4 linked regions of the Rhinolophus ferrumequinum genome follow. The protein of the gene in region 4 binds, or shares a complex with, the protein of the main gene of each other region. Links are inferred from orthologs where the notes say so. Each region holds a gene or a part of one and is shown on either strand. Other genes may lie near its edges. The genes, in order: THOC3, THOC6, THOC5 and THOC1.

What was found.
Region 1: THOC1 (region 4) and THOC3 share a complex: the UniProt entries of both Homo sapiens proteins name them as parts of the transcription/export (TREX) complex. The link is inferred for Rhinolophus ferrumequinum from reciprocal best matches to the Homo sapiens genes THOC1 and THOC3.
Region 2: the proteins of THOC1 (region 4) and THOC6 are in contact, whole or in part, in a cryo-EM structure (PDB 7APK), measured with the Homo sapiens proteins. The link is inferred for Rhinolophus ferrumequinum from reciprocal best matches to the Homo sapiens genes THOC1 and THOC6. Residues at the interface, in NP_005122.2 of Homo sapiens: Ser227, Pro229, Ile230, Asp231, Tyr232, Leu234, Arg236, Val270, Ser273, Tyr274, Asp309, Leu312; in NP_001334633.1 of Homo sapiens: Leu57, Ser58, Ser59, Glu60, Pro312, Glu313, Lys315, Thr330, Asn331, Gly333, Tyr334, Ala336.
Region 3: the proteins of THOC1 (region 4) and THOC5 are in contact, whole or in part, in a cryo-EM structure (PDB 7APK), measured with the Homo sapiens proteins. The link is inferred for Rhinolophus ferrumequinum from reciprocal best matches to the Homo sapiens genes THOC1 and THOC5. Residues at the interface, in NP_005122.2 of Homo sapiens: Glu60, Arg145, Arg146, Leu147, Ser148, Ser150, Gln151, Lys285, Met286, Leu289, Val296, Tyr297, Phe298, Leu302, Ser304, Leu307, Leu310, Gln311, Ser313, Asp314; in NP_001002877.1 of Homo sapiens: Tyr52, Arg113, Lys120, Asp124, His127, Leu128, Gln131, Asn132, Leu134, Tyr135, Glu136, Met138, His139, Thr145, Lys146, Glu149.

Annotation. Positions count from the first base shown.
Region 1 is NC_046307.1:40,249,208-40,256,163, reverse strand, and holds the start of THOC3 (THO complex subunit 3), read left to right. Parts: upstream 1-3,883; 5' UTR 3,884-3,978; coding exon 3,979-4,245; intron 4,246-4,936; coding exon 4,937-5,093; intron 5,094-6,441; coding exon 6,442-6,646; intron 6,647-6,956. UniProt on the Homo sapiens protein: Component of the THO subcomplex of the TREX complex which is thought to couple mRNA transcription, processing and nuclear export, and which specifically associates with spliced mRNA and not with unspliced pre-mRNA.
Region 2 is NW_022680357.1:4,524,615-4,532,563, reverse strand, and holds the start of THOC6 (THO complex subunit 6 homolog), read right to left. Parts: upstream 3,012-7,949; 5' UTR 2,919-3,011; coding exon 2,880-2,918; intron 1,907-2,879; coding exon 1,791-1,906; intron 1,686-1,790; coding exon 1,621-1,685; intron 1,531-1,620; coding exon 1,427-1,530; intron 1,339-1,426; coding exon 1,301-1,338; intron 1,218-1,300; coding exon 1,169-1,217; intron 1,062-1,168; coding exon 990-1,061; intron 901-989; coding exon 798-900; intron 715-797; coding exon 665-714; intron 577-664; coding exon 514-576; intron 417-513; coding exon 306-416; intron 222-305; coding exon 87-221; intron 1-86. Other genes in the region: HCFC1R1 (host cell factor C1 regulator 1), read left to right, coding at 3,322-3,416, 3,715-3,771, 3,858-3,986, 4,219-4,354; TNFRSF12A (tumor necrosis factor receptor superfamily member 12A), read right to left, coding at 5,385-5,440, 5,551-5,685, 5,916-6,020, 6,741-6,834. UniProt on the Homo sapiens protein: Component of the THO subcomplex of the TREX complex which is thought to couple mRNA transcription, processing and nuclear export, and which specifically associates with spliced mRNA and not with unspliced pre-mRNA.
Region 3 is NC_046308.1:18,919,269-18,927,004, forward strand, and holds the start of THOC5 (THO complex subunit 5 homolog), read right to left. Parts: upstream 3,062-7,736; 5' UTR 2,924-3,061; intron 2,918-2,923; exon of another isoform or gene 2,267-2,917; intron 2,230-2,266; 5' UTR 2,113-2,229; exon of another isoform or gene 2,109-2,112; intron 1,695-2,108; exon of another isoform or gene 1,561-1,694; intron 1,162-1,560; exon of another isoform or gene 1,127-1,161; 5' UTR 1,126-1,126; coding exon 1,030-1,125; intron 1-1,029. UniProt on the Homo sapiens protein: Component of the THO subcomplex of the TREX complex which is thought to couple mRNA transcription, processing and nuclear export, and which specifically associates with spliced mRNA and not with unspliced pre-mRNA.
Region 4 is NC_046302.1:16,794,351-16,801,338, reverse strand, and holds the start of THOC1 (THO complex subunit 1), read right to left. Parts: upstream 3,004-6,988; 5' UTR 2,841-3,003; coding exon 2,787-2,840; intron 714-2,786; coding exon 640-713; intron 546-639; coding exon 485-545; intron 1-484. UniProt on the Homo sapiens protein: Component of the THO subcomplex of the TREX complex which is thought to couple mRNA transcription, processing and nuclear export, and which specifically associates with spliced mRNA and not with unspliced pre-mRNA.

The sequences.
Region 1 (6,956 bases), on a different chromosome or scaffold from region 4:
TTCAGGGTAATTATCTAAAGCAGGGAACGGGGCAGGGAACATTTCAAGCTCAAACCACAAGGAGGGGTATTTTCAATTGTTAAGCTCTAGGGCAAGGAGAGGCGAGGTCTCTTTTGTGGGGGTCCCAAGCGTAGATAACATCTTTTAAAATGTGTATACATTTTTTTGGCATGCCTGGTATAAATAAATACATATATAAAATTTATATGAAAGATTGTGAATTTGGCATGTGTTTTTACAAAGGTGCGATCATAGACTACATATATTCCTCAGTTACTATATACTTTCTTGCTTAGTTCATCAGGGCAACCCACCAGGTTTGTAACTACAGATACAACTTGATTTTTTAATAGCAACAGAGTTATCCGTAATATTGATATACACATTTATTCACTCTTCCTCCACTGATGGACATTCAAGTTGTTTTCAAGATTTTTGTCATTAGAAACAATGCCATCGTACAGATTCTCATAGATTCATCCTTAGATTATCAGGACTAGGGTCACTATATCAAGGGATATGTATGTTTTTTGTTTTTAATGTATAAGGCCACGTTACTTATTTTAAAAAGCTGTGTGTGGACCTCATTTGGATCTTGATTCAAACAAACTATAAAAAGAAGTATGACATTTATAAGACAATTGGAAATTTGAACACTGACTAGATATTTCATTACATTAAGGAATTTTTGTTATTTTTAAGATGTGATAATGGTAGAGATACATACTGAAATATTTATGAAAGAAATAATTTGCTTCAGAGAACTTTCTTGGAATAATCCAGCACAATCCAAATCCTGTGAGAAGCTTCCCCTTTGAGTCCTCTTGCTGAGGCCTGTACAACTCCTCTGGAGAACTTTCCTTTCTCCCTTACTGCAGCAAGGTGCATAAACCGAACTTTTCAAATACGGATGTGTTCCTGGAGGCCTTTGGTTGGTGGACTTGGAAGCAATCTTTTCAAAGTTTATTGTCCATTTGGATTTCCTCTTCCTTGGGACATTTTCCCAGTTCAGTGGGGCGTTCTGACATTTTCTCTTTTGTCTGAGAGTTGTCCCATTGTTTGCCTACCCCATTCTTCTCTAGGAGCCATATGTACTACTTCTTAGAAGAGGTCAAAGTTAAGGATTCTCGTTCAGGTTGGATCACCCTAGGTTTGATGGCATTAGCAAGAATTTTCAGGATCTTTTCCGCTCACCAGTAAGGCTACTGGGTGGTGAGGTTGAAGGTAGGAACTGAGCTAATTTGGATCTCTCTGTTTGCTCCAGACAAATCTGGTTATTTTCTTGGGCACCTGTCTAGTTTGGCTGATGTTCATGATGTGTGTGAGTGCGTGCGTGCGTGTGTGTGTGTGTGTGTAACATTTATTGCTCATCTCATTAGGTATTAAAGGAGAAAAGTCATCATCTTAACTCAGAAGTCTGATATTTATATTAGATTTTGTTTTATATATTTAGAAGCTCTGATATGAGACAAAATTTCAGTAACTCTTAATCGTTCTTTTATTGATATGAAATATCACTATTTGTCCATTTTAGTGCTTTTCATCTTGAATTCTACTGTTTGTTACATTAATATTGTAACATACATAACACAGTCTTTTGTTTGGTGTGCTGGGAAAATATTTTGATCTTTAAACCCGTGTGTTTTTACTCACTATGTAACCCTTTCTCAATTCAGATGACTAGACTGTGAGTCATTCTTTGCCTTAGAGGAGATCATCGCAATGGAACCAGAATACAAAAGAAGCAAATTCTTGGTTTGTGAATGTCAGAGCTGTAGCTCAGGTGTAAGACATTCTCAGCCAGTTTCTTCACCCTCAGAGGAGAGAAGCATCAAGTCACATTCTGTTTGCCCTGTTCTATTTCCTTAGGTGTTACTTCTCTCTTTTGTAATGTGTGGGGTTTCTCATTTCTGATGTTAGAATTTTCCTCAAACATTTTGTTATTCTTGGGTTGGGTGTTTTCACTTAATTTTTGAAGTTTCCTCGTTAGCCCACATGTGAGTGCTGGATTGGTTTATGGCATTTCATTGCCAGTGATTTCAGGAAAGTGCTTTGCTGCTGGATGGGCGGGGGGTGGTATGTTAGTGTCTAGTCTTCTGGAAATGGGGACAACCACAGTACATGTCATCTACTAGTTTGCTTCTCTGGTTGAATCCTGACTGACACACCACCTATATGTTGAGGCTTTGCCAAGGGTGATTTCTTTAGCACCAATAGCTTCTCCAAAGTCTCCCACCATCAAAGGACTTATATGTCAAATCCCCCTCCTTCCTTATCTACTCTTCCTTCACTGTGGGATGTCTCCCTCACCCCCTGAAAATTCCCTCACACATCCTGTTATTTCTGACATTATTATTTATGACCTGATTCTGCTGTGAGTGATCCTAAAGGTCCTAAGACTGCCATATGTAAAAACATCCTTCAGAGTTGCAGCAAAAATCAGCTCCTGCAACGTGGTAGGCGGGACTATAAAAATGGACTATAATGGGAGGGAAAACTAGACACCAAACAGTCTCCTACCCCAAGAATTTAGTGACTTCATTGGTATTCTGTGGAGTCTAAAAGGCTTTGAAGTCTCTAAGAATTTCTGGGTGTAGTGCGGTAGGGAAGAGAATTGGGAAAAGAAAAGGGGCTCATTTCCTTAGGCCCTTTGTGGAGCTATGCACGTGCTTTATATGTGGACTCATTTAGTATTTAGGACCTCATGACACTCCCCTAAGCTTCTGGTGGAAATGCAGATTGTTAGAACCTCTTCACAGGTTTGGCAATGTTCAAATAAAAAAGCGCATATGTGCACGATAAAGTTTGTATAGGGACATTCACTGCAGTATTGTTCTACAAGCAAATTCACGGGCACCAAATGTCCCTGAAGGGGACCAGTTGAATAATCAGTTGAATATGGATGTATAAATGATCATTAAAGACTCCATCCATTAAGAATGAGACTTCTGCATATACTGAGAAGAAATAATTTCTTACATGCATTTATCATAGAAAGCAAGCTATGTAAGGGACGCTACCGAACCATTTTTTTTTTTGTGGGGGGAAGGGTATGAACACACTGGTATACCACTTCCACTATCTCTGGAAGTGCACAAAATAATTTGACAATATTTTTCTCAAAGGGAATTTGGGGACACACGAGGGAGGGAAACTTACTTTTCACTCTATTCTTTTTTGTGCGTTTTACACTTGTTACCAAGTGTATGCGTCCTTAAATATTTTTTTAAACTTTTTGAGATAATCGCAAATTCACAAAAGATTTGCTTTTAAACAAATTTCCAGCCTCCTCCTCACCATCCAAAATCTCCCTCAGCCCACAGCCCTTCTCTAGCTGACAGCTCTCCATTGGTTTCTTCAGCTGGACGCTGCTGGACCTGTGGTTTAAGGTAGGGATGTGAATAAGGCCATTTACCTTTTTACTCTGTATCTTTCATATTTTTTGCATATATAATCATGTACCTATAGTATCTTTTAAAAGCAAAGAACTTGCTTATTTAAAAAAACCTCCGGACCCCTTCTCACACCCTGCTCCCCCCAACCCCCTAGCCTTTTACTTGGGACAAGCTCACCAGCTGGCCCTTCTCCAGCAAGAAGTCAAGGGCGTTGTGCTTTGAGGGCGACTGAGGGGTGGGCAGCAACCCTAGAAAAAAGTATTCTGCTGATGGGGAACTGAGGTTTAGAAGGATAGCGTTTGTTTCCGTCTTCGATCACGCAGGGACACAAATATAGCTACCAAGCAATAGGTAAAGGTTAACTATGAAGCAAATTTAAAGCCGAATCACTACTGTTCAAAAAAAGCAAAGGACGCAGCGCGCTGCATGCCGGGATTGGTGTTCCCTTTCCAGGTGGGCCATACTGCGGCTGCGCAGAAGAGCGACAGCTCTTCCGAGCGCATGCGTGCGGCGGCAGCGGCGGCGGCGGCAAGAGTGACTGCCGTGGGGTGGTGGCGCCCGCGCGGGCTCCAGGGGGCTCGGCATGGCGGTGCCCGCGGCGGCTATGGGGCCCTCGGCGCTGGGCCAGAGCGGTCCCGGCTCCTTGGCCCCCTGGTGCTCAGTGAGCAGCAGCCCGACGCGCTACGTGCTCGGGATGCAGGAGCTGTTTCGGGGCCACAGCAAGACGCGCGAGTTCCCGGCGCACAGCGCCAAGGTGCACTCGGTGGCCTGGAGCTGCGACGGGCGCCGCCTGGCCTCGGGGTCCTTCGACAAGACGGCCAGCGTCTTCTTGCTGGAGAAGGACCGGTTGGTGAGCTTTCAGGGCCTGGCCCAGGCCAGGGAGGGGGGGCTCTGGTGCAGCGGTGAGGCGAGAATGGCGGGGAGGGGAGGGGAGGGGAGGGGAGGGGAGGGGGGGGGGGGCGGAACGTGGGGGTGTCGGGATGAACGGGGTGTGGTGGAGAGGAGGAGGGGGTCGGTAAGGGGAAAGGGGGGATGTGTCGGGGGTGCAGTAGGAAGGCGTGAGGATGAGGGGGTGGAGGCGAGAGGGTTCCCACTGGTGGGGAGGAGGCTGAATGGGGCCGGGGTGCGTGGGGGTGGGAGGGGTCGGCAGGAAGGCTGCTGGTGGCTGGCGAGGCACCGTGTCCTGATGGGGGCGCTGTCGGGGTGACGAGGGCCCCTTTGACTCCGATGGGGCCTCCGGTGGGAATGAGCAGGGGCGTTCCTTGGTAGCGAGTCAAGGTGGAAAACCAGAGAGGAGGAGGAAGGCAGGGAGGGCAAAGAGGAAGGCGCGATGTGGCACCTAGTCTCAGTCAATGGAGAGCGATGGGGAGGGAGGAGGATATTGGGGAGAGTTTTGGGGAAGAGGCTTGGCAGGACTGGGCTTTTTAAAACTCTCCAAAGTTTTGTTGGTCTCCAGATACCTTGGTTTGAATAAAGTGAAGAAGTTTCACGTGGAGGCAGGTACATATGTGTGAAGGGACATCCGAACTCTGTTCTTTCAGGTTAAAGAAAACAATTATCGGGGACACGGGGATAGTGTGGACCAGCTTTGTTGGCATCCAAGTAATCCTGACCTCTTCGTCACTGCATCTGGAGACAAAACCATTCGCATCTGGGACGTGAGGACTACCAAATGCATTGCTACTGTGAACACAAAAGGTGACTTCAGAGGGAGGGCAGTAGGAAGATAAGCGACTTTCATGTATTCAACATTTTCCAAATAACTTTTCTGTGCCTGGCCTTGTGCTACGCATGGGACATCCTGAGCTGAAAAGACGGCACAGTTCAATGCTGGGAGAGACATATGCATAAAAAAAAAAAAAAGGCAACTAACCTAATCTGACATGGCTCATTGTATAATGGAAATGTCTACGAGGTGAATACCCAGAATGGAAGTGCTTAAGTCTTCCCTGGGGGAGACAGGGAAGGCCTCACAGAATTTGAGCAAACTCTTACAGTAGACAGAGGAATTTGGTGGTGGAGGTATGGTGGGAGGGTGGGGCAGCTCTAAGGAGGGAAGAGTGTGTGCAGAGGCGTGGAGAATTTGGAAAACTGCTGGTCAGCTAGAATGGCTGAAGCTTGGATGGTCCTGGTGGTCTGGGAGAAAATGACCTGAAAGTTGCGCGGGTTATTTATAGACTGTTCTTCATCAGATATGGTCCTGGAAACCTTGAGGTCATTTATTATATTATATTGTCTAAGATGTCATTGATTATAAGATGCACCAGTATTTTTAAGTGCAATTAGGAATGAAAAGAAAGCTTCCAAATAACCATGTATACCAAACATTCTGAGATGCATTTGATGCATTTTAAGATGCATTATAGATAATAAAATGTGAAAAAATATACATCTTAGAATCAGATAAGTTGGTGACATTTTTACTGGATGTGTTCAGTGTGGGCCACTGGACTTTGTTGACAAGACTTGTACCTGTAGGTGGAATGAAGCAGTGCTTTCCCCACGTATACAGTGGGTGATACATGAGTGATTTCGGTGGTATGTGGATGAACATTAAAAAATGGTTTTGTGTATGTTTTAATGTCTGTTAGAAAAAAAGAACCAGCTCATAGAATTTATTGCTAATGAAAGCTGAGTTTTCTGAGCCAATTTTTAAAAAGCTCTTCAATAAAGAAAAACATAGTTGTTACATGGATAGGACAAAATTTGTGAAAGTGGCATGTGAACGACCGGAGTTTGGGAAATGCTAGTGTTAAGAGAATAAATTTATGTTTAGCTCTTGGCTCTATTACTTCACAGCTTTGACAGTTTGGCTCATTGTTCTTATCTTCCGTTTCTTCACCTGTAAACTGGGGATAGTAAAGTGACAGTAGAATATTGTGAGGACCTCATGGGGAAATTTGCAGGTGAATGGCGGTTGCCTTCCCTGGACTACGATCTGAACGAAGGCGCTCTGGCGAGCTCTCTGGTCTTCCTTCAGGATAACATAAACTTCTGGAGGATTAGGGGCAAACAGGTCATTTTACTGATTCACCCGGTTTCCTAGGGGAGAACATTAATATCTGCTGGAGTCCCGACGGGCAGACCATTGCCGTGGGCAACAAGGATGACGTGGTGACCTTTATTGATGCCAAGACACACCGTTCCAAAGCGGAGGAGCAGTTCAAGTTTGAGGTCAATGAAATCTCCTGGAACAACGACAATAACATGTTTTTCCTGACAAATGGCAACGGTTGTATCAACATCCTCAGGTGAGGGGGTCCTCGCTTAGGGGACGGTCATATCTTTAACAGCTGGGTGTTCTGGTGGATACAGAGTGAATTAGATGTGAATCTGTCCTGAAAGCGTAAAGGACAAATGGTGACAAAGGATCCTGACCTCTGTTGAGCGCCTTTGAGTCAGGCACCTTACGTTTTCCTGGGTCCTCACAGAAATTCTAGGGGTGGATGGTGTGCTTTCCATTGGGTAGGTGAGGATCTGGGATTCACAGAAGTGGAGTCACTAGTCAGCTGGTGGGCACTAGCGCTGGATGCACCTTGAATTATGGCTAATTTGTGCGCT
Region 2 (7,949 bases), on a different chromosome or scaffold from region 4:
GGTGTGTGTGTGTGTATGTGTGTGAGACTGACCTGTCCACACACCCCTGGCCTCCCAGGACTCCCACAGCTCCGCGCAGGACCCACCTTGCACTCAGGTGCTGCTGGCTGCTGGTTGAGGCTAAGGCTGAGCAGCCCTGGGGAGGAGCCAGGCACCTGCGCCTTAAGCTCCCCACTCAGCTGCCACTGGTTGACGCACGGGCCCTGGCCGGCTGACAGAATCTGTGGAAGGCAGGGAGGGGATTGAGGGGTCAGCGCTGGAGAGGGGAGCTAGGCAGGGGTGGCAAAATGGAGACAGAGACTCACCAGGTCCTGGTAGAAGGTGACGTGCTTCTGTGGTGCCCGCATGGGGAAGATGGTGGTGGGTGTAGAGGAACGGAGGTGCCAGAGGGTGAGTGCTGGGCCCCCTCCACAAACCTGGGCAGAAAGGTGGGGTCCCCAGCCTCCTAAGCCACAGGCCCTCAGCTGGTAGGGCCTGCAGCTGCCACCCCATCCTGCACTTTGCCTGGCTCACCATCCAGTCTGAGTCAGTTGCCAAACATCCAATCCAGCGCCCATTGTGGGGCCTCGAGCACTCCTGAGAGGGAGGAGGGGAAGAGCAGAGGAGGTGAAGATGCAGAAGATGCCCAGGGAGAAGGCAGGACAGGCATGGGACATGCCCTCACCTCGTGCTTGTAGACCTCGATCGTCTGGACCTCCTTGGCCGAGCGGAGATCTGTGGGGGAAGAACCATGAGAGGCAGCCTACTTCCCCCAGCCTCCCTCACCACCATCTTTCCCTCTAACCAGAGTCCCTTACCCCAAAGCCGCACAGCCCCGTCCTCGCCACCTGACAGCACCTCGGGGCTCCGCTCCCGCAGTGCCAGGCAGTGGATATAGTCTGTGTGGCCTCGGAGAGCCCTCTGCAGGAGAGGAACAGTGTCAGGACAAGATCCAGAAAGAAGGCCTTCCCCCACCCCACCGTGACTGCCCAGCTCCACAGCCCTCTTACCGTGAAGCTCCCTGTCTCAAGGTCCATCATATGCAACTGGCAGTCTCCCCCTGCCAGGATAAGCGCATTCTCCTGCAGAGGAAGACAGAGTGGGGTCAAATCAGGACAGGGACAGGGAAGGATCACAGCTTGGGCCAAGAACAGGGCAGGGTAGAGACTTAGTTACAAAGGGTTCAGACCTTGGGGATGAGAAGCAAAGCATTGATTTCTGGTACTTCCAGGCTGGTCCTGGGGGAGGGAAAGCAGGGTCAGCTCTGGTGAGGCAGCACCTCCACCCCCACGTGCCCTCTGTCCACATGGCCCTGGCTCACCTGTATGGGGGCTGACGATGCCACAGCTCCTTGCAGCCCTTCATGGAGGAAAACAACGAGTGACCTCAGAGGTTCTCTTTGGAGTTGGATGCCCCAGTACCCCTCCTCCAGCTCGACACTTCTTACCTTCTTGAGGATCTCTGCCCACAGCCAGGCCTTCACCTCCCCATCCCCAGCGCTGAACATATGTCGATCAGTGGAGACCATGCAGTAGACCGGCCCATCGTGGGCTAAATGGAAATGCAGAACCTGAGCGACCCCGTCCTGCTCTCCTCCTCTACCCTGGGGTCCTCTAAGCCAGACTCAATGGCTGCACCCACCTTGGAAGGTCACTGCGGGCTTTTTACTTTCCTCTTTGGCCTCGGAGCTCAAAGCAGCAGACAAGCTGAAAGGAGAGGGGAAGAGGGTCTGAGTCAGAAACAGGGGACATCAGTCCTGGGAGAGCCAAATGCCAGAGCTAATGGGTTGTGGGGAGCAGAGGTGAGGGTACCTGAAGATGGCTATCTGCCCATAATTGTTGCCAGCTGCCAGGAACTTCCCACAGGGTGAGACACTCTGGGAGAAAATAGTCATGTGCAGCCGCTGTAGGGCCTGAAACACTTCCATCTGTGGGGAGAGACTAGATGAAGGCAGTCTGGGACCTCTGCTTCACAGAGTCCTTCCTAGTTTCCGTGCCGCCAGTTCAGCCACTGCCCAGACTTCTCCACCCTCCTCTGAGGTCCACCAAGGTGGGCACCTGCCCATACAGTCCCGGGGCTGGCTCGAAGAAAAGGTAAGGAAGAGGGGAGTTGAGGCGTGATGCCTAGTAGGACTTTGAGCAAGCACCCTGTGGGGACAGAGCCAGGAGTACAGTTTCCAGGCTCTCGCCCTCACATGGAAAGGTGCTCACTCGGGTAGTAAATGGCCATCAACTGTGACTGGATGGCCATCAGCTATGGCTAGTTGGCCGTCAGCTGTAACCAGTGAGCCATTGGCCACTAATATAACTGCCGTGGCTATGCTAGCAGTAAATGTGGGCTAGCAAGAAGATGGTGGCTGAGCTAGCAAGCGCAGATTACAGTTGGCACGGCGAATTGCAGTTAGTAGGGCAGATTGCAGCCAGCAATTGTGGTTGGTTGGTTGGCAGAGAGAGAGAGAGAAGCGGACAGCAGGTTGCAGATCGTGTGGATCCTGTTTCCTGTGTCTCCAACCCATTCGCCAGCGAGACTATGGTAGTATGACTCCCCTATCTATGGCTCCGTGGGTGTTCCTTTTTGGCCTCACCATGTCCTGCGTTCTTATGAGGGGAGGGGGACCAGAGACCCCGCATGACACCCTGCATAACACACCCAACCTCTCCTCAAAGTTCCCTCAACTGTCAAATGAAGCTCACAGGACATTCTGTCATGACTGGATGAACTACTGTATATAAAGAGCTTCACACAGTGATGCCTCCTACAAAACGCATAAACAGTGGCTCTATTACCCCAATACAGAAAAACATATTGCCTTCTAATTACTACTCTCTGACTTTCACGTTAGGCCCCTGTGGGGCATGGACCACAAACCCCAGAAGGCACCGCGCACACGCCGGTCTCACCTGACCCAGCGGCACCGCGTGGGGCAGAGCTCGCTCCATCTGCAGAACTACAAGTCCCAGACTGCTCCGCACGCAACGCAAACTCACGAGTCCGGACGTGCCCCAAAGCGGCTCACCGTCACTGAGCTTCACCCGGTCAATACCGCCAGCCGGCTCGGCGCGAAGGCGGCCGCCGCGTACCACCAGAGTCCCAAGAGCCGCAGTGACCGCCGTGAAAATCTCCGACACCAAGTGGCTCCCACCGCAGCCCCGCTACTCCAGATCCCCTCCCCCACCCGGCGAATGGGCCCGCCTTCCAGCCGCTCGCCGTCCGTCTTTCGCGCCTGCGTGAATCTTGCTGCTGCGCGCGCCTAAAGCCACGCCTCCCGCGTTGGGCCACGCCCTCGGAGGCTCCGCCTGTCGTCCGGATCCCACCCCTCCGCCCGCAGGACCCCGAACCCCAATGATCCTTCAGCAGCCTCTGGAGCGAGGCCCCCCAGGTCGGGCCCAGCGTGACCCGCGGGTCGCCTTGGGGGCGCCTCGAGGCCTGGACGCGAGGTGTGTGTGTGGGCCCTGGGTGGGCCTGGCCCAGGGGCGCTGGAGCTTTGGCTTGGGGCTCAGGGCTGGTCTGCAGGATGACGCGATGGGGCGAATCAGCAGAGTTTGGGCATGAGCTGAGACGAGTTTGGAGACTAACGAGGCAAGCTGCTGAATGGCCCGGGAGAGTGGGGGTGATTTAAGTGTCAACTGAGAGGGATTGGGTGGGGGTTCCTGGCTGACGTTGCAGGCTCAGGCCGGCAGATCTTAGGGTTGGGGTCAAGAGGGTGGGGTGCACCTGGTTCTTTTTTCTTCCCAGCCCCCCTCTCCAAGGAGCTGTGCCCATGAGCACCAAACGGCGCCTGGAGAAGGAGCAGTGAGTTTAGGGGCAGGGAGGGACTCCCAACAAGACCTGTCACCTCAGGTCCCCATCAGCCTGCCTGCCTCCCGGTCTCTCCCTAGGGAGCCCCTGCGCAAGCAGTTCCTGTCTGAGGAGAACATGGCCACTCACTTCTCTCGACTCAGCCTGCATAATGACCACCCTTACTGCAGCCCCCCTATGGTTTTCCCCCCAGCTCTTCCCCCACTCAGGTAGGCACCATTCACTAGCTACCCGCTAGGCCCTCTGGAGAATCACGCCCTATCAGAGCCAACCTCCAGGGCCTGCCTCATCCTGCTATTTTTAGTTTCTAGCCAACCTCTGTTCTCATCTTGGCTCCTTAGAAGGCGCCTGCAGCCCAGTAGCCCCTGGGGACCTGAACCTGGTGGTGGGTGGCTCTGCCAGGCCAGCCTCAACCCTGTGCCCTGTCATTTCCTTTTCCAGGAGCCCTTGCTCTGAGCTCCTTCTCTGGCGATACCCTGGAAACCTGATCCCTGAGGCTCTACGGATGCTGAGGCTGGGGGACACCCCTGCCCCCCACTATCCTGCAACCCCAGCTGGGGATGTAATGGAGCTCTGAATTCTGGCAGACAGTACCCCTGCCCACCCTCCTTCTCTCCAGTAGGGGAGACCAACACCCCCATGAAGGGACCAGCTGCCCTGCTTTTCCTCCAGACCAGGCCTCTGGGCACCAGAACCTTCCCCCAAAAGAGGATACTGAGCCCAACAGAACCCTGGGGTGGGAGGGCCAACAGCATGGGAATGGAGGCATGCCCCCCCCCCCCAGAACTGAATAAAGATTGCTGAACAGAGGAAGTCTTCAGTCTGGAACCTAGGGCCTTTGGGAAGAGGGGGCAGAGCTGGGGCACTGGATAGTGGGGTTTCTCCTCAAGATCTTCCCTGGAAAACGGTCAGGGCCTAGCCAGGTCCTGGCAGTCGAGGCTCAGACATTGAGAATGTGTGAGTCAGAGCCTCGCCCCCGCCCCCGCGGCTGACTCACTCCTCCCTCCAGCTCTGGGAAGTCAGGCTGGGGATCATGCCACTCTTCGAACCATTTAAAGTTAAAGATTCTTTTATTAATAAATTCTCCCCCCTCCAACCTTTCTCCCCAAAATAAATATCTCCCCCCCTTTGAGGGTTGGGGGGGCAGTGTCTTAGGGCCAGCCCCCCTAGAGGGCCAGCCCCCTAGTGTTAGGAACAGGTCCCTAACCCCCCAGGCTGAGACCCCAGTGCTGGAATTTCAGCTCATCTGAGTGGGTAGGGCCTGGTGTTGTGTCTGTCTGTCAGGTCAGACTGGCTGCCAGGCCATGGGAGGGGGGACCCTTGTGCAAATGTAGCAGTTCCTTAGTGTCAGCTGTCTGGTGTGAGCCAGCCTAGGTCTCATTTTCTGTCCTGGAGCCAGAGGCAGGGCAGTCAGACACCTTGAATGAAGGCTCCTCTAAAGTCTGGGTCCAGGCCTCAGAAGTGATTCACCCGTCCCTCATCCCTGCCCACCCCTGTGGTTGGAGCAGCCTGGCTCAGGGCTGTGTCTGGGAGGCAGGGTCTGGCTCCAGAATGAATGAATGAATGATGAGTGGGCGTGGCCTCCTGCTGGCAGGGGATGCTCATTGTTACTGGATCAGAGCCACACCGGGACAGCCCTCCCCGCCGGTCTCCTCTATGGGGGCTGCAAGATAAGAAGAGGGGTCGTCAAGAACAGGGAGGACGGTGGGGACTGATGGGGTGGGGGGGTGGGGGCACGCGGGCAGGCAGGCAGGAGAGCCAGGGCACACTTACTGGTAAACTTCTCTCTCCTGCGGCACCGTCTCCAGACCAGGAAGCCGGAAAGGAGTCCCAGCACAAGGGCCAGGCTCAGGGCTCCCCCCAAGATGGGCCACAACAGCTGGAAGGTGGCTGGAGGGGCCGCAGCGCCTGGGGATAGGACTCGAAGTCAGACCTCGCTCCTCTCTGAACCAGCCCCACTCCCTAGATCTGAGCCACGAGTCCCCCCCTACCAAGACCTCTACCCAGATTGGAGGCCCTCACTCCCGCCCCCCTCCACATTAATTCCCCCGATCTGAAGTCCCCTACTCCCCTCTACCCCAGCAACTCTCTCCCCCAGTCTGGGGGTCCTCTCGCCTCTGGCTCCGCCCCCCACTCACAGCCCAGGCAGAAGTCGCTGTGCGGTCGCGCCGGGCACGACGCGCAGTCCATGCACTTGTCGAGGTCTGCACTCCAGGAGCTGCCGCGAGAGCAGGGGGTGGTGCCTGAGGAGGGGGCCACGGGTCAGAAGCTGGGGGCGGGGCGTGACTATTCTGGGGGCTGAGGTCAGGGTCGGCAGGCTCGAATAACGTGAGTCACCGGCGCCCTCCTCCCGCATTCCTCACAGGTGACCGCACGGCCCGACCGGGACACGGCTGCGCGGGGAGTGGGGGGAGAAGGGGGGGCGTAGCGCGGGAGGTCAGGTCCCCACAAACCCGCCCGCCGCTGGCGGGTGACTCATTCCTGGGCATCGGGCCCGACCCCGGTCCCTCCCCCCGCATAGCTGGGCACTGAAGTCACCGGATGGAAGGGGGCACCCCACATGTGATGGGGGCACAGACCCCCGTGCCTCTCGACACCCCCTCCCGACTCTTCGGTCACTGGGGCTGGGCACACCCGGTATTGACCAGGATGGGGGCATGTCCCCTCACCGGACGAGACATCCCGCCCTCAAACTTTCTCCACTTCCGAGTCCAGACTTTAAAGACAGAGAGGTTCCCCGAGTTGGACAGGCGGGAAATTGAAGCCCTGACGGGATGAAGCTCGGAGCGAGATGGGACCTCCCCTGACCAGGGAGTGCGTTGTCTGGAGACCTGACCCCGGATCCCATGTCCCCCTAGTTCTGCCCTCTCCGCTAAGCCCCCAAGTCGACTCCCCGATTCCCGGCCGAGGGTTCCCCGGCCCCCACGCCCTCCTGCCCAGTCCCTGCTCGTCGCCCGGCGTACCTGGCACCCGCTCCCCCGCCACAGCGCACAGCAGCGCCAGCCCGAGCCACAGCACCAGGAGCCGCAGCAACGGGCGCTGGAGGCCAGGAGCCATCGTTAGCGTCCCGCGGGCGCTGCCTTCTGCTACCGCCGCTGGCCTCGGAGACCTACAGCCCCAGCCCCGCCCCCGCCCCCGCCTTCCGGGGCAGACCCCTCGTCTGGGCCCGCCCAGCGGCCCGCCCCTGGGCGTCCCGCCCCGCCTGGCCCGCTAAGTTCAATCGTTCGCTCTGCAAACACCGTCCTTGTGCGCGATCTTCTAGGACGCAGTCCTGGCTGCCCTCTCGGTGCTCAGGTCCGGGAGGTGTGTGTATGTCTGCGTGAGTGTGTGGGTGGGTGGATCAGACACGAAACCACCCACTGACCCATTGCAGACATAACTGCCGCTCTCTTAAGAGCCCCGGGGTATAATAATAAACGTAACACAATGATGTTTAATTTCTACCTTAGGACATAGTTACCTAGTAAAATGCGGGCTTGTTGTCTCCATTTTGCAGAGTATGAAACTGAGGCTCGGGAAGGTTAGGTTAATTCCCGAGGTCACAGCAGTAGGACTAGTAAGTGGCGGAGCGGAGACCCAAGCTCCACGCCCTGCGCCTAGACTTACCGCGGGCCCCGACGCCAGCCACTGATGTCCTCGCACCCGGGCCAGCTGCAGACCCTGCAGCCCCAATCTCGAGCGCCCCCGACTGACAAAGTTGGGATTCGCGCTCCCGCGGTGGTCTGGAATGGGGTCTCTGCCCCTCCCCGGGGCGGTGGTCCAGTGACGTCACTGCCTCTTTAAGACCCTGCCTCCGCCCCATCCCCGCACTCCGCCGTCTCTTAGGAATCTCCGCGGACTCCTTCCTTCGCAGGTGAGCCTGGGGCCAGTGTGCGTGTCGGGGTGAGGGAGGAGATGGGTGCCTCCAGGAGCGGGGTGCTGGGGGTGTGGCCTGCTGGAGAACTTGGACTGATCTGGCTACCGCCACCCGGCCGACCAACCCTCGGGCGCGGGGCTGCACGGAAGCCGACGAGCAGATCGAGTCCTGCGACTCGAGAAGGGTTAAATGCTCCTCCTTCCCTCCCCTGGGACAAAGGCACCGAAACCTGGGCTCCCCTCCCCCACCTGAGCTGCTCTCTGGGGCGGGCGCCCCTCCCCCTCACCTGCTGGAGCGGACCCTTGGCGGGCGCCGC
Region 3 (7,736 bases), on a different chromosome or scaffold from region 4:
TCCATGCTATTTAGTATACTTTCCCATCACAATAAATATAGCTCTCTATCAAAATGGCTGCATGACAGATAGCCTGTTAAATAAACCAGAATTAATTTAACCGAAATTGGGTGTTTAGATGGTCAAATCAAGCTTCAACAGAGACTGAAATATTATTACTCTCCTAGCGTTTGGAGTAAACAGAACATCTCTTTAATACAGTCAACTAGTTAATAATACTGTATTGCATATTTGAAAGCTACTAAGAGACTAGATCTTAAAAGTTCTCATTACAAGAAATTTTTTTGTAACTATGTATGGTGATGGGTGCTAACTAGACTTATTGCAATCATTTTGCAATATATCAAATAGTGAATCATTTTATTGTGCACCTGAAACTAACATAATGTTATGCCAATTACACCTCAATTAAAAAAGAGTCAGAATCATTGCCCCCAAAAGGATGAGGCCCTTCATTAATCTTGATTTCGTAAATCTGAGGCAAGTATCATTTCCTACTTAAATTTTAGCCCATATATTTCTCTATTCTAGTATTAAAAACAAACAAAAAATATAACCCATCAAATAATTAAATAGTTAAGTCATAAATGAGCTCGACAGATTCAAGGATAAAGAAATAGCAAAGGAGAAGAACCTACTGAGTACAGGAGCCCTCAGGCCGCAGAAGAGGGTTTGCGGGCATGTGGTTCTGGCACTGTCTCAGTAGCAGACAGCGATGCCAAAGCTCCAGTGGCATGCTGCAGATGGACTGCCTTCTTCTGACCACCAGGAACATTGGAGACACACACCATACTAGCATGAATTCTCTGTTCAGGCACTAATCACGTATATAGGCTTGTTGGTTCTCGGGATGCTGCAGCTAAACTTGATGTGGCTACTTTGTAGAGCCAAGTGAATTCTGGGCACCCGGTTAAGCAGAGGCCACCTTGGAGGCTGTCCCTGTGACCCTCAGCTGCTGTAAACCCACAGCCAGGTGCTTGGCCACAAGCTGCAATTTCTCAGCAGCACGGCAGCCCCGGCTGATCTCACCTGCTCAGTGTCAGAACGACTACGCTTCCCTTCCGATGGAGCTCCATCACTTCGGATCACTTTGGGCTTCCGTTTTTTGCTCGATTCTGATGACATGCTTGTTTAGTGAGGTCAGGCAGAAACAACAGAAACCTGTTAAGGAGATATCTTTCGATATTTTCCAGAGTTGGAACTGGAAATTTTCCTGAAGTCAGAATACTTGTGTCTAACTTTCAGTTCTTGCCATTTACACCCTTGGTAACTCAAGAAAAGTAGCTCAACGCTCCAAAGGCTCAGTTCAATCCCTCAGGCTATCCAAAGTGACCTCATCTTCTCAACCTCCACCTCCTTTAGAAGAACCACCTCACGGACCAAACTATTCAGATGCCATGTAAGCCCATTGCCAATACTATTGATAGATAACTGTGCTGGACCTTGATCTAAGCATTTTATGGGTATGTTCTCATTTGATCCTTTTAACAAACCTTTTAGATAAGAACAAGTACCATTTTATAGATGAGAACACTGAGATCAGAAAGGTGAATGACTTGCCCAAGGTCAAACAGCTAGTATGCTAAAGCTTGGGTCCATCGAATGCCACATCAGCGCTCTTGAGAACCACATTATTGTGCTTCCTAGTCTTGCCACTATGTCATCTGGCAATGCCATCAACTCCCTGGTTGACCCTAAAATTTAAAAGAACATTTCATGAAGCTTTGGGTCATAAAGCATCCTCCTTCCACTACCTCTCCTGGTTGTCACCATAGCCCCACTATTCCCCTTACCCCAATGAATCCTGTCACCAACAATTATTGAGGAGGCCAATAGCTCATTGTAGTGGAGTCAGAGAAGCCCTGAGTTGGAATCTCCACTCTCCTAGTTTATGGCCATCAGTCCCGGGACAAGTCAAGTCACTTCCCTTTTCTCTGGGTCTGTTTTCTCACAGATCAATTAAGAATAACAGTTCCTGGGGTGGCCCCTTAGATCAGTTGGTTAGAGCGTGGTGCTAATAACACCAAGGCTGCCAGTTAGATCCCCGCATGGACCCCTGTGAGCTGCACCTTCCTTAAAAAAATAAAATAATAAATAACAGTTCCTACCTACCTCAGGGGTTGTTATGGACATTAACACAGGAATGTCCTCCACTGGGAAAGGTGATGAAGATGATTTGGGAGCGGGGCTTTAGATGGTACATGGATGATCTTACATAATGTTGAACACCTGAGGAGAAAGTTAATCCCTTTTCAATTACTTTTAGAAACTTCAGATTGCTTCAAGGAGACTGTCTCATCTCCCTAGTTTACCTTTAACATCTATGAACACCAATATTCCTTTGTTAACAAAAGGACTGTCTCAGAGCTGTAGACTGAAATCGGGCCCGAATCATTAACAATGATCTGTTTTATTAAACATATTGATTTTTGTCACTACCTTCTGCATATGGCAAGTGAAAGAAATTTTATATTTACGGCAGAGACTTCAATTTTTCTTTTGAAGTAAATTCAAATTTTAAAAGTGACTCGATTAAAAACCTTTAGTAAACAGTCCTACATGGTTGGTTGATATGGCCAAACCCACAAAGGTGAAAGCCGAAAGGCTTAAACGTGGGAAATCCCGACTTTGGCAACACAGTAAAGAGTGCCTGGCATACCTAAGCGCACAATGAATGTCAACTGTTATCACCATTACCATCATCGTCGCGTCGCCATCATCTAGAGGCTACAACGTGGGCCTGACGATGTTGCAGCTACCGCGACATTTTCCACAGAAGGAAACGGCCTGGAACCCCGGGGTTGGTTCTCCGAGGACGGAGAACCCTGGTTGGACTCCAGCCCAAAGACGCCTTCCGCGCTGTCCACACCTCAATCCCAGAGCCCCCCTGCCCGCCCCGCCGCGGTCCCGATCCCTTCCTCACCCCACGGCGCCCGAAACCAGTCCAGGAGAACGAGCCACTTCCCAGGGCGGAGAGACTGTGAGCCGCGCACCATAGAGAAACGGAAGGAAGGAGCGGCCGGCCGGAAGCGAGGCGCGGAGGCCGGAAGCGAAGCGCAAAGCCCGCAGTCAGCGTGCAGTGCAGGCAGCGGCTTGGTGACGTGGGAGCAAGGAGGCCGCGGCACCTGGGTTTTAGGGGAGGGTCCCAACTGCCAACACCCTCGTACTGCCCTCTAAAACCAAGAAACTGAGACTTCAAGGACAAAGATTCTTATGTGCCTTGTTCACTTTTTCCCCAGCGCCTAAAGTAATGCCCAGCAGCTAGTACATGTTTTGTCGTTATTTGTTGTTTGACTAAAGCCCAACGTAACACAAGAGTGTGGTAGTGCCAAGATTTGGACCCTTGTGGATTTGCTTCCATACCTGGAATTTTCTTTTTTGGGTGGCAGGAGGTTTCTAATTTTGATGCTTATTTTGCTAGTTTAACTCGTTTGCTACTAGACAATATAACCTGGATTCTTAAACCATACACATTCATCCTAACATTTCCCACTGGTAAGGGTAGCACGTCAGGGAGGGCATTAACTCCTTAACACTTTTTCCCCCACAGGTGCATCACTAGTTTACCACTTTACGTCCGATTTGCCCAGGGCAGAGTCACAACTCTAATGCAGCATTTGACAGCTTCAGTGTTTTCTATCCCTGGTAGAATTGTGCATACAGGGAGGGTTCAGGACTTACGGTGTAAATCCTACTTATCTGGAGGTGGAAACACTTGGTATTGAATCCCTGGTTATACAGGACAGTTCCTTCTGCCATGATGGGAGGCCCTCCCCATAGTACCCTGGGCAGTGAGGGGTAAACTAGCCAGTTCAAACTGGGAAGCTGGCCCTGCCTTGGGCACCTGCCAAAGTTCCTTGCAGATGAAGAAAAAACAACGATGGTTTATAGTAAACATTTAATTGTTTCCATCAGGAACTCCAGCACAAGTTTTCCTGAAAGGGAGGCAGAATCAAGTTACCCAGAGGTTCATGAAGTATGGGGGTCACGGAGGAGGCTTCCAAAGTCACTGACCCCACTTCACACACCCAGTAGCCCGGCAGAATGAGGGTTGGATGGATAGAATGTGAAGAGGGAGAAAAGGGATGCAGGGGGAGGGAAATATAGGCCCTGGCCCATACCCTTGCCTGAAAGAAGGAAAAGGGAGGACAGGAGACGCTTTGTACAGGGCTGGAACTACATATTCAAGTTTCCAGCCTCATTATGTAGAAACAGGTGAGCCTCTCTGTCTTGTATTAGGAGCCCCTCCCCAAGTGGTCTTTTGTCACCTCTGTTCTATCGTCCCTATTATGTATTCCAAGTTCTGCAGTTCAAACCCTAGTTCTGAATCCTAAGTTCTACTTTCTGGGTTCCTAGTTCTGGGTTCTTGTTCCTGTTCCATTTTGTTTCCTGCCCCCAGATTCCTTCCATCTCCCTTTCCCCAGCCTTTCTGGGTGGAATATATGGACCTCCTGCTGACTTTGCTAACTTGAAGGCTTCCCTCTTTATATCTTGAAGCAATTCTAGGCTTTTCCGCAGCAAGAGGGACATGGTTTAGACTGTCCAGCAAGTATGTGGCCCAGTGGAGACCAAGCAATGCCTGAGCACCTGGCCTGCTTTGACCTCTTCCCTTCCCACCCAAGCTCTAATCCCTGGACACACTACCTTTTGTGCAACTAAAGCTAAACTGAGGGATTCTGTGGTGCTAACTGGGGACTGACTGGTGGCCTTGAGATGAGGAATCTTAAGGAAGATGTGAGAAGACATAAAAGGTTGTTGTTCTTCATTCAAAGGAATTAAAAACTGCTTCCCGCCCAGGGGAAGGAGTGCTGGGGAATGTGGGAACTGTCTGGGCAGAGCTGCAAATCCTCAGAACCCTGTCATCCTTCAGCTCCCCCTTTTCTGAGCTGAACACTAGCCCCCCGAGTCCTCCCAAATCCGAGAGAAAACAAGGCAGCTGGCCTGGGAGCTCCTCTGTCCATGGCTGCCCTGAGGGAGAAGGGGAAAGAGGTGGAGCCAACAGCAGCATCACTGGAGAGGTGAGATCTTCAAAGGAATCATGATCCGAGACTCCATGTGTCGCACCAACGGGACTGTGGAGAGAGGCAGAGGTCACGGATGAGGCTGAGGCGAGCCAACTCCCGAAACTGGCTTTTGAAGGGGGAAGAGGCCTGAGATGCTGAGACAGGAAAAGCCCCAATGCCCTCCTAAATGGCCCATGGAGAGTACCAGGTCTTCCAAACTGAAAGGAGAGGGGACTTAGGTGGTGATAAAATGCAACACTTAGAAAATTTTCATAATTATCTATTTTCCTGTATATGTGAAGAAAAAAAAACCTAGCATAATAAAAAGTGATTTCAGATACTACTGCTCATGACAAAGCTAGTTAGAGAGTCAAGTAGGGGGACTTAAAGAAAATAACTGTGGCAGTCGTATACGGGTAGAACAAAAGCTGTCAGCGGGTCCTCAAGTGGCTGAGGTATGAAACAAGCAGATTTAGTCCAACTGCCTCATTTTACAGATGGGGAGCCTTCAGCCCAGAGCCGGTCAACCCAAGGTCACCCAGGAGGTCAGACTGTTCCCTCCTGCTCAGAGCTATTCAAACTTTATTGTGCATGCAAGTGATTAATACTTATAGTTCTTGTTAAAGCACAGATTCTAATTCAGTGGGCGGAGGAAGGGCTTGAGATTCAGCATTTCTACACTTGATCTTAGCCAAAAGGCCGAGAAGCGATAGAGATTCAGCATTTCTAAAGGTCCCAGGGATGCTGACACTACCATCATTTGGGACCACACTTTGAAGAGCCTCCGGTAAACTTCAGGAGACGCATTCTCCCCTACACCAGTTAAGTGTGGCAGCCCAGATGTAAGCTCCTTAAGGGCAGGCATAGGCTCCTGTTCATGCTGGGCCCCCCAGCCACCTGTCCACCATAGTCCCTGGCACACAGTGAGGGCTCAGTCAACACCTGCTGACTCCAGCTGGTTCTCAGGGGGCCCAGCAAAGTGGCAAACGCTGTAAGCAAAAGAACTGGCTCGAAAAAATTTGCTGTATGCTTCCTTTGTGTCAGTCTGGGCGAAGTTCAGCACTTTTCACAAATTAGCTCCTGGAATCCTTCCTCCAGCCATCCAAGGCAGGCACTCTCGCCATCTTACAGATAAGGAAACAGCCTCTGTGAGGTGAACCAAGCCTGAGGTCACAGTGCTCGCTCACTACCCTGCTTCTCTGAGGCAGGGACCTCCCGGTGGTGTTGTCATCCCCCACAGCACTCACTTAGGGACTCTGGATCATGTGGCGTGTGCCACCCCGATAGAAACCCACTAACTCATTTTATTAAAAGAAAGTTCCTCATCACTAAAGGTAATCAAGTGAGGCTAGCTCTCCTTGCAGAGGAGATTCCAACCTCAGTTAGGGCTCCTGCAGATGACCTCCAAGGGCCTCACGAAGCCCCCAGAGGTGCTTGCTCACCGGTGTAGTAGACATTTTCATCCCAGCCCCTCTTCCTCCAGGCAGCATTTCTAGTTTCCTCCCGAGACTGCAGATCTTTATAGGCTGTAGGAAAGGCATTGTTTCATTCTTTGGGCAGAGGATCTGACCCTGGACCCAGCACAGGGCCCCCCTCCCACGGCCCTTCTCCCTGTCCTGCTGTCTCTTCCTCCACAATGCCTTGGACTGTTAGCAAACACTGTCTGCCTTGACAATCTCATTCGATCAGTACATTTGTTTACAACTCCCAAATTTATATTTCCAGCCAGAAATCTCCCTCAGGCTCCATACTCATGTATCTGGTGCCAACTAAACATCTCCACCAGGGTATGTCAGCATCACAAATATAACACTTTTGAGGGTCAAAATTACACTCTTAAACCCTCCAACCTACTCCTCTTAGGGTCTCAGTAAGCGACATACAGCTGCTCAAACAGGAGTCTGGGAGTCCTGGAGTCCTCTTCTTGCCCCACACAGACAGTTCATGCAGAAGTCCCATTGATTCCACCTCCGAACTAATTAATTTGTGGACTTTTCAGCAATTTCATTGCCACCACCTTAGGCTAGGCCACTACCTCTCCTGCCTGAAGTAGTGTAACCGTCTCTTGATGCCCCAGTGCCTCTCTGCAAAATACTTCCCTGCAAAATGCTCTCAGCAAAGCACATGGCAGCCAGAGAAGTCATATTAGAACATACTATAGGTCATGTCATGCTGCTTAAAATGCTGCAGCAGCCTCCCATTGCACTTAGAATAAATCCCACCTCGTCCCCATAGCCTGCAAGGCCCAGCCTGACCTCACACTCTTCCCCACTCTTTCCACACAGGGCTCGTTTGCACTCCTCAAAACCCTGAAGGCCTTTCCCCATTGCAGGGCCTTTGCACGTGTTGTTCCCTCCATGCAAAGGCCCTTGGAATGCCCTTCCCTAGCAATTCACAGCTGGTTCTTTCTCATTCTTTAGCTGGGCTTACATTTTTACCTCCTCAGAGAGGCCTTCTTTGTCTATTCTAGCCAATGCAGGTTCCCATGCTTTTCTTCATCATCATCATCATCTCTCTCTCTCTCTCTCTTATTTGTAATAATCTGAAATTATCTTTTTTGTCAGCTTACGTCTGAGGTGCTGTGTCCCTCTGCTAGAATATAAGCTGCACAAGGGCACTAATGTATTTGCATTGTCTATGCAGAGTGACAATGGAGAAAGGGGACCAGCAGAGGGCTCCTGAAGGGTCCCCAGCCTACCCCAGAGATGGTGCACAACGTAGAGCTCCCCTATC
Region 4 (6,988 bases):
TGAAGTTGGATAGGCTCTATTTATTTTTTTTAAATGCTGATGAGAAGGATGCATACTGTAAAAAATGATAGCATGGAATCCTAGTTTCCATGTTGAATGTCCCTGGACTAGATCTTTTGTGCAACTACAGAATGTGTCACTGTCTATATAATAAAGCGAGAGGGCCCATTTTCAAATTCTAGTTCTTGCCCAGGAACACCTCACATCAACTTGGAAAAGGTATGAGTTCTTATACTCTTCACTTGGAGAGGGTTCTCTTCATCTAGTAAAACAAAGTCTTCTAATGATTTAGCATCCGTGCTGTCAAAATCCTTAATTATTACATAACTTCTATACTATGATATAGTCAGCTTTCGCAAAGTAGCAAGCTCATGCTAGAAAATCATATTTAAACACTCATTCTAAGAATAAAAGCAATTTAAAAAAATAACAGAATTTATTAATTTGCCAGCAACATTTTAACAATAAAGGAAAACATACTTACAATTTCTTCTTCTAGAACACCTCTGAAAGCTTGGTCAAGGGTACATTTTTTTTCATTTTCACTATTGAAAACAAAAGACAAGCTCCATTTTTTAAACAGCTCAGGGTAAGTATAAAGATTCAGGCAAGCATGTTTCATGGATACTAATGCCTTACCTGCCAGGTAACTGGGTGAAGGTATTCAACAATGGTTTGATATTTTTGTTGTTCAAGGCCTCTCTGGTAGACTTCTAGAAAAATAAATATAGCAAGTAAGTGGAAAGATTTTTGCTTATTAATTACTGAAAAACATATAACTCATTAAATCTAAAAATGTTTATAACCGGGAAAAATTATCCATCAGTCATTCTATCGGTAGTTTTTATTCAAATGCCACTTACTGACATATAGACTCTCATCATGTTAAACCTGGAAAGAATTTCCTAGCTAGACTTTCTCATTCCAATTTTTCCCTCCTACCATCTCTTTAAATATCATAGTCATGAGAGTATTCTGCTTTTAAAAAAAAGTCTCCAAATGGCTCCTCATTTACAGACGTTGGTTTTGAAGTCTGATAGCTCCTTCTCAAGGTCCTTGAGAAGGTTATCCCACTCAATCTATCCAACCTTATTACCCACTACCCTCTAACACATACTCTCCACTAAGGTCAAGCCATTTTTTCCCTATTTTTCTATCAAGTACACTCTAGTGTATTTACACATTCATGTTGTTCTTCCCACCTGCTTATGCAAATTTTATCCATTCTTCAGGACTCATCTCAAGTCAGACTTCCTTGAGTGAGATAGCTTAGCTTGTTCAGCATAGTCCCTCACACATAGTAAACTGAACAAATACCTGCCGATTGTCTTAGTCATAATTGAAAGACAAAAATACTGAAAAGTCAATTCATTCTGTGAAAATTCACATATGATTCGAACAGTCATCTTATTACCTCACAGGAGTTAGATGGAAATGTCCATTCCTGACTCTGCCAAAAATAGGCTGTGTCAATCTGGGCAAACCCCTTAATGCTTCATTTTCCTCACCAGTTAAATAAAGGGTTGTTGTAGATCCTTACTACCAGTAGCAGCAGTGGAATTACCTGGGAACTTGACAGAAACGCAAAATCTCACATCCCATTCCAAGCCTACTGAATCAGAATTTACATTCAACAAGATCTCCAGGTGATCCACCACACACTGAAGCTGGAGAAGCAGCAGACTAGATGATCTCCAATTAAATGGCCCTTTCCAGGATTAATGTGATCTTGGATTGTCCTAACAATTACTCTTAGAATTTCAAAGCACCAGTATTACAGCAAAATGCCCAGAAAGAAAATCATTCTGATAACATAAACTAGATATAATCTGGTATTAGAAAAACAAACTCAATATTCTATGAGGAAAAAAATAACCTGCACACAAAAAACTACTTACTACAAAGAATCAATTTTCTTTCACAGAATTTTCATTCTGGCATCACTATAACTATGTAGGCAGTTAAATATGTGAGTAGCTGAATGATGACTTGAAACATTGGCACAAATGCTAAAGACAAATAACAGTCAAATAACTTAGAACAGGGGTTCTTTGTGCTGGGTGCTGTATGGGTAACAAAAAAAGAATACTGGCTTTGAAGTCAGAAAAAAAACAGTTTAGTAAATCACTTAACTTTTCAGGGGCGTGTGTCTCATTTCTTTCTCATCTACGAGGGGATAATAAAACCTAGCCTACTTCACAATGCTAAGACTTAAACATGAAAACGCTCTGTAAGGTGTTTCTCAAATGCTAAAGCTACTCTTCTCCAATATGTAGGAATAAATGACATCTGACAACCCTTTTCAAACTGCTCTGTTTGTCTTTTCCCACTTAGGATCTCTTAGGAGTGAGACACTGAGGGTTACAGGTACGGTGAATAGGCAGCCGGAACAAACCACCTGGCAACTAGGAGGCGGGGCGGGAGCCAGTCCTCTGGGCTAAAACCACTCCCGCCCTCCTCTTTCCCCAGCTCGCTTCCAGTTCTGGAGACACCTGCCCGGCTAAGCGAGCGCTGCAGAGGAGCTGGACCGGACGAGAGAGAGTCTGAAGATGAGCCCTTCATGCCGGCGACCAGAACGCGGAATGGAGGAGGCGGACCGCAGAGGATGCGCGGATGAGGCAGGTACAGCGTCTTTTCCACCTCCCAACCCCCGAAGCGGCCGGGAGCCAACGCTGCGGCTTACGCACCTCTGTCTCCGCTTTACCTCAGAGCAAAAGTCCAGTAATTAGAGAGGAGGGCAAAGAGAAGCGCCGGGTCAGGCTTGCACCCTCCCGCTTTCTGCTCACCGTAAACCGCGTCCGCGCTTCGGGTAAACTGAAGAGTGGCGGTGTCGGAGACATCTTGGCTGCGCGTGCCCGCCACCGCGCTGCGGCGCAGGCCGATGACGTCAAGCCGGGAGCAAAGAGATTACCGGCTGCGTACGCTGCTGGAGCGGCGTGTGAGCAAAGGGGAGGGGCGGCTGGCAATTAGGAGCTTCTGTGGAGGTCAGGTGGGCGTTGGAAGCCAGAGTCAACCACACAATGCCCTGTCCCGGTTCGTGGGTAACCTTTGGGGTGACGGCATAAGGGCGGGGCCGCGCCCTGTGAGCTCTGCGCTGCAGGGCGGGAAATAGGTCCTGACGCGCACCGCCGTGGTTTTCCGGGTTTGGGGAAGCCCTAGGTAGCTTAACGGGCGATGCGGGAAGGTAACCGCTGCCCGAGAATCCAGGACAAGGAGGTTATCTAGGAAAGCACCAGGCTGGGGAAGTGTTGGCAGTGGCGGTGGGTCGCGGACCGCGGTCATGCTCCAGGAAGGAGTAGTCTCAGCTCCCGATTTCTGTATCAGCTCTGTAGTTCATAGGCCTTGTAGCAGCAGTAGTTCACCCTTCTGTGAAATAGAATCAGTACTTTCGTATTTTGCCGTGTGCTCCTGTGTATAATGTGCACCCACGTTTTTGGCCCAAACTTTCAGGGAAAAAAAATCTTTCGTTTACATTTTTTAATTCAAATTGTTATTTGTTCACATTTAGGTACTTGTTTTTTGTATTATAAAGGAATTTTAGCATTTATATTTTTAACATTATGGTATAAGAAATTTTATGTAACAAATAATTACAAAAAATAAGAACAGATACAAGGTACGAGAAATTTTATGTACCGGTAACAAATTTACCATATTTATGTATCACAGAAGGCCAAGAACTCTTGGTCGTTGCAAGTTCATCTTAAGTTCAACAAAACTGATTATCGTATTCCAGGGTATTATTTTGCATATGGATATCGTTATTGATTTCTAGAGTTACAACACTTCCAACTCATAAGCATAAATGAATTAAAAACATATAGATACGGAATTAGTACTACCCATGTATATTGCACGTCCTTATTTTTACCTCACAAATTTTTGGGGAAAAGTGCACATTATACACGGCAAAATATGGTATATCTGTCACAGTGCTGTTGGAAAGCGTGAATGAAATAAATGCAAGTGTGGCATACGTAGCCATATAAGACTTATTGTTATATCTTGGAATTGTTAACTTGGTGGCCATATATAGGTCTCTACAGAAGGAGAAAGACCTTGGAGGAATGCAGTGTTTGGCGCTGATAGTAAAATGGGTGGCACTGCCTCCAGGGTAGAGGCACCCCTGGCAAAATCCTGCGTCCTCGGCAGTTTCCTCCCTTGTCTCCTTTCACTGGAGAGGCTTGGCCGATGAAAAGCCAAGTAGAAGTAACTTTCTTAGTTGGAATGATGCTGTGGGGAAGGAAGTTATGCATTGACCCAAACACAAACTTCCTGCCAACTCTTCTTCGTTTCCACGTGTAACCTAATGATGAAAGCTAGGTGTGCTTTACCTTGTTCCCTTCATTGACATTCAAAGAGAATGTAGGAAGCCAACAAAAAGATAACTTTGCATAGTGTTGCCTGTAAGTGGGAATTGTGAACAGTGATGGCTGGAGCACTGTTGTCTTTTTTTAGAATCAACAGAATCATTCAGGTTTGATGGTATAACAAGTCTCAAAATTGGCAAATTAAACTGGTATTAACTGATTTAACAGGTAGCTGATTAATAGGATTATTATATTACAGAAGATTATTAACTATCAAGAACACAACTAAGAACCAAGAAAGAAATGCAGTTATTTTTTACAAAACACCAATCATAAGAAGAGCTGGACTCATCCATCAAAGCCCAGTGACTTAGAATTCTCTTTATTCAGCAAAAAAGTCAGCAAACATTTGTTGAGTACATTATACACAATACACAGTATCTGTTGAAAGAATGATATATGAACAAATGAACAAAATAGTGAAGCCTAATTCCTATTTTGAGAAACTTTTAGTTTGGTTGACATAAAAGAAACAAACAATTACAGTGTACATACAATTTCTATTATAAATACTTTCGATTATAACTGCTGTAAGAGATTAAAGGAGAAAGCAATTGCTACCATATGAGGTGATCATAGAGCCCTCAAGGAGAAGATAGAATATGAGCTGGACCCAGAAGGATTCCAATAGACAGGAATGGGAAGGGATGAAAAGGAAAGATATTCCCAATGGAGAGACTGGTATTAGCAGAAGTGTGGAAGGGAGAAAGCATAGTGAAAGATAACTGTTTTACTGTAACATTGGATTCTGAACAGAAATAAGGCTGAACAGTCAAGTTGGAACCAGATTGTATTAATGTTTGAGGCCAAAGAATGTTTAAAAATGGCTTTTACACTTCCTGCCAAGTTATAGCTGGCAGTATATTTGGGAGGAAGGAGAGAAATGAACTGCTTTGCTGCTGAGTGCTGAAACACCAGATAAAGAAACAGTAGGAAAAAAAGTAACAATCTTCAGAGAATAATGAGGTGTTACTGTTTAATGGGTACAGATTTCAGATTGGGATGATGAAAAAGTGCTGGAGATGGATAGTGTTGATGGTTGCAAAACAACGTGAATGTACTTAGTACCACTGAATTGTACACTTAAAGATAGTTAAAAATGGGTAAAATACTAAATTTATCCATCAAAAATCACTACAGTAAAAACATTTTAACATGTAGATCACTTTAATTAATACTTTATAATCCCCAAAGCACTTAACATTTAGTACCTCATTTGCTCCTCTAAGTGATATTTGAAGGTGGGTAATACAACTGTTATGCCATTTTACACATAAGGAAGCAAACTCAAAGAGATGGGGTTCTTGATAAAAGTAATTGGCAAAATGAGACTACCCGGGATTTCGATTCCAAATATTGTACTCTTTACACTGTTATACTGTTGTAAGTAATGCTTACGTTTTATTGAGCACCTTCTATGAGCCAGACGCTTTTCTTGTATTACTTCTACTCCTTAGAACAACATTATACATAGTTATTTATCAGTGAGGAAACAGGCTCATCTGTCACATGACTAGAAGCTTGTTTGAGATTTGAGCCTGGCTTTAATCCCAAAGCCTGTATTTTTCTCAGGTCTTAACTCTTGATTCTTTACTAACCCATGGGGTTAGTTATTGTTTCAAAAATTATTGCCTTGCTGTTGGCTAAGAGTGAGGATCATACTGTCATCAATAACACATTATGAGTTTTTTAAAAGAATGTAATAATAACACTCAAAAGGTGACATCCCGTAACATGTTACCTTTTCACTTAGATTTATTGTGCACTTGTTTTTCCTCTTATGCTAGTGAGGTAAGATGGACCTGCCTCTCTGTTAGGAAATACTCTCCATGGGAAATTCTAGGCTGGGTGATTTAGATAATTTCTAAGTATTCAGCTCTTTATTCCTCTTCTTTTCCTTGGTGTGATCTTAGTTGGATTCAAGTTACCATTGAAGTGGTTAGATCTAGGAGAAAAGGACCAAGGGGGCAGCTTAGTCTGCTTTTGTTCTAGTCTTTATCCTCTAGTCCTGGCAAAAGGAAACTTTTGGCTCCACGCTCACTAGTCAACCACATTAGGATGTTAGATTGCAGTTTCTGCTGGTTCCGGTTCTGGGCCTTAGCCATCTTTCCCTTTCTTTCTCTCTGTAATTTGAGTGGATTGAAAGAATAATATTGACAGGGAATGGATGTTTCAGTGGCAAAGATGAGCAAAAAGAATGAGACATCATTGTTGGGAAAGGAATGGAATTGGGAAGAAGAATAGTAGAAGAGGGATGGCACTTTGTGAATATTGTTGTGGAAAAAGAGGAATTACAGCACCCATAAAAACTAGGGGTGCTGTATTTTTGCCACAGTGGTGGCAACTTTCAAGCATTTTGTATTAGTGTATTATTCATTCATCACATATTTATTGAGTGCCTGTTATCTGCCAGTCACAAGTACAATATTGGATTATATATGCAGTATGATTATTTTATTAAATCGTTAAGTACTGTGTATATAATTATCTAGTATACCTGGTAAAATCTTGTTTGGTGAGCTTGGTTGGACCACACAGATGAGCATAATTCAAGGTGAGAAATAGAATACTGGATGACTTCTTGCCCTGGTGAGCCCAGCTTACCTGCAGGGTTAGAC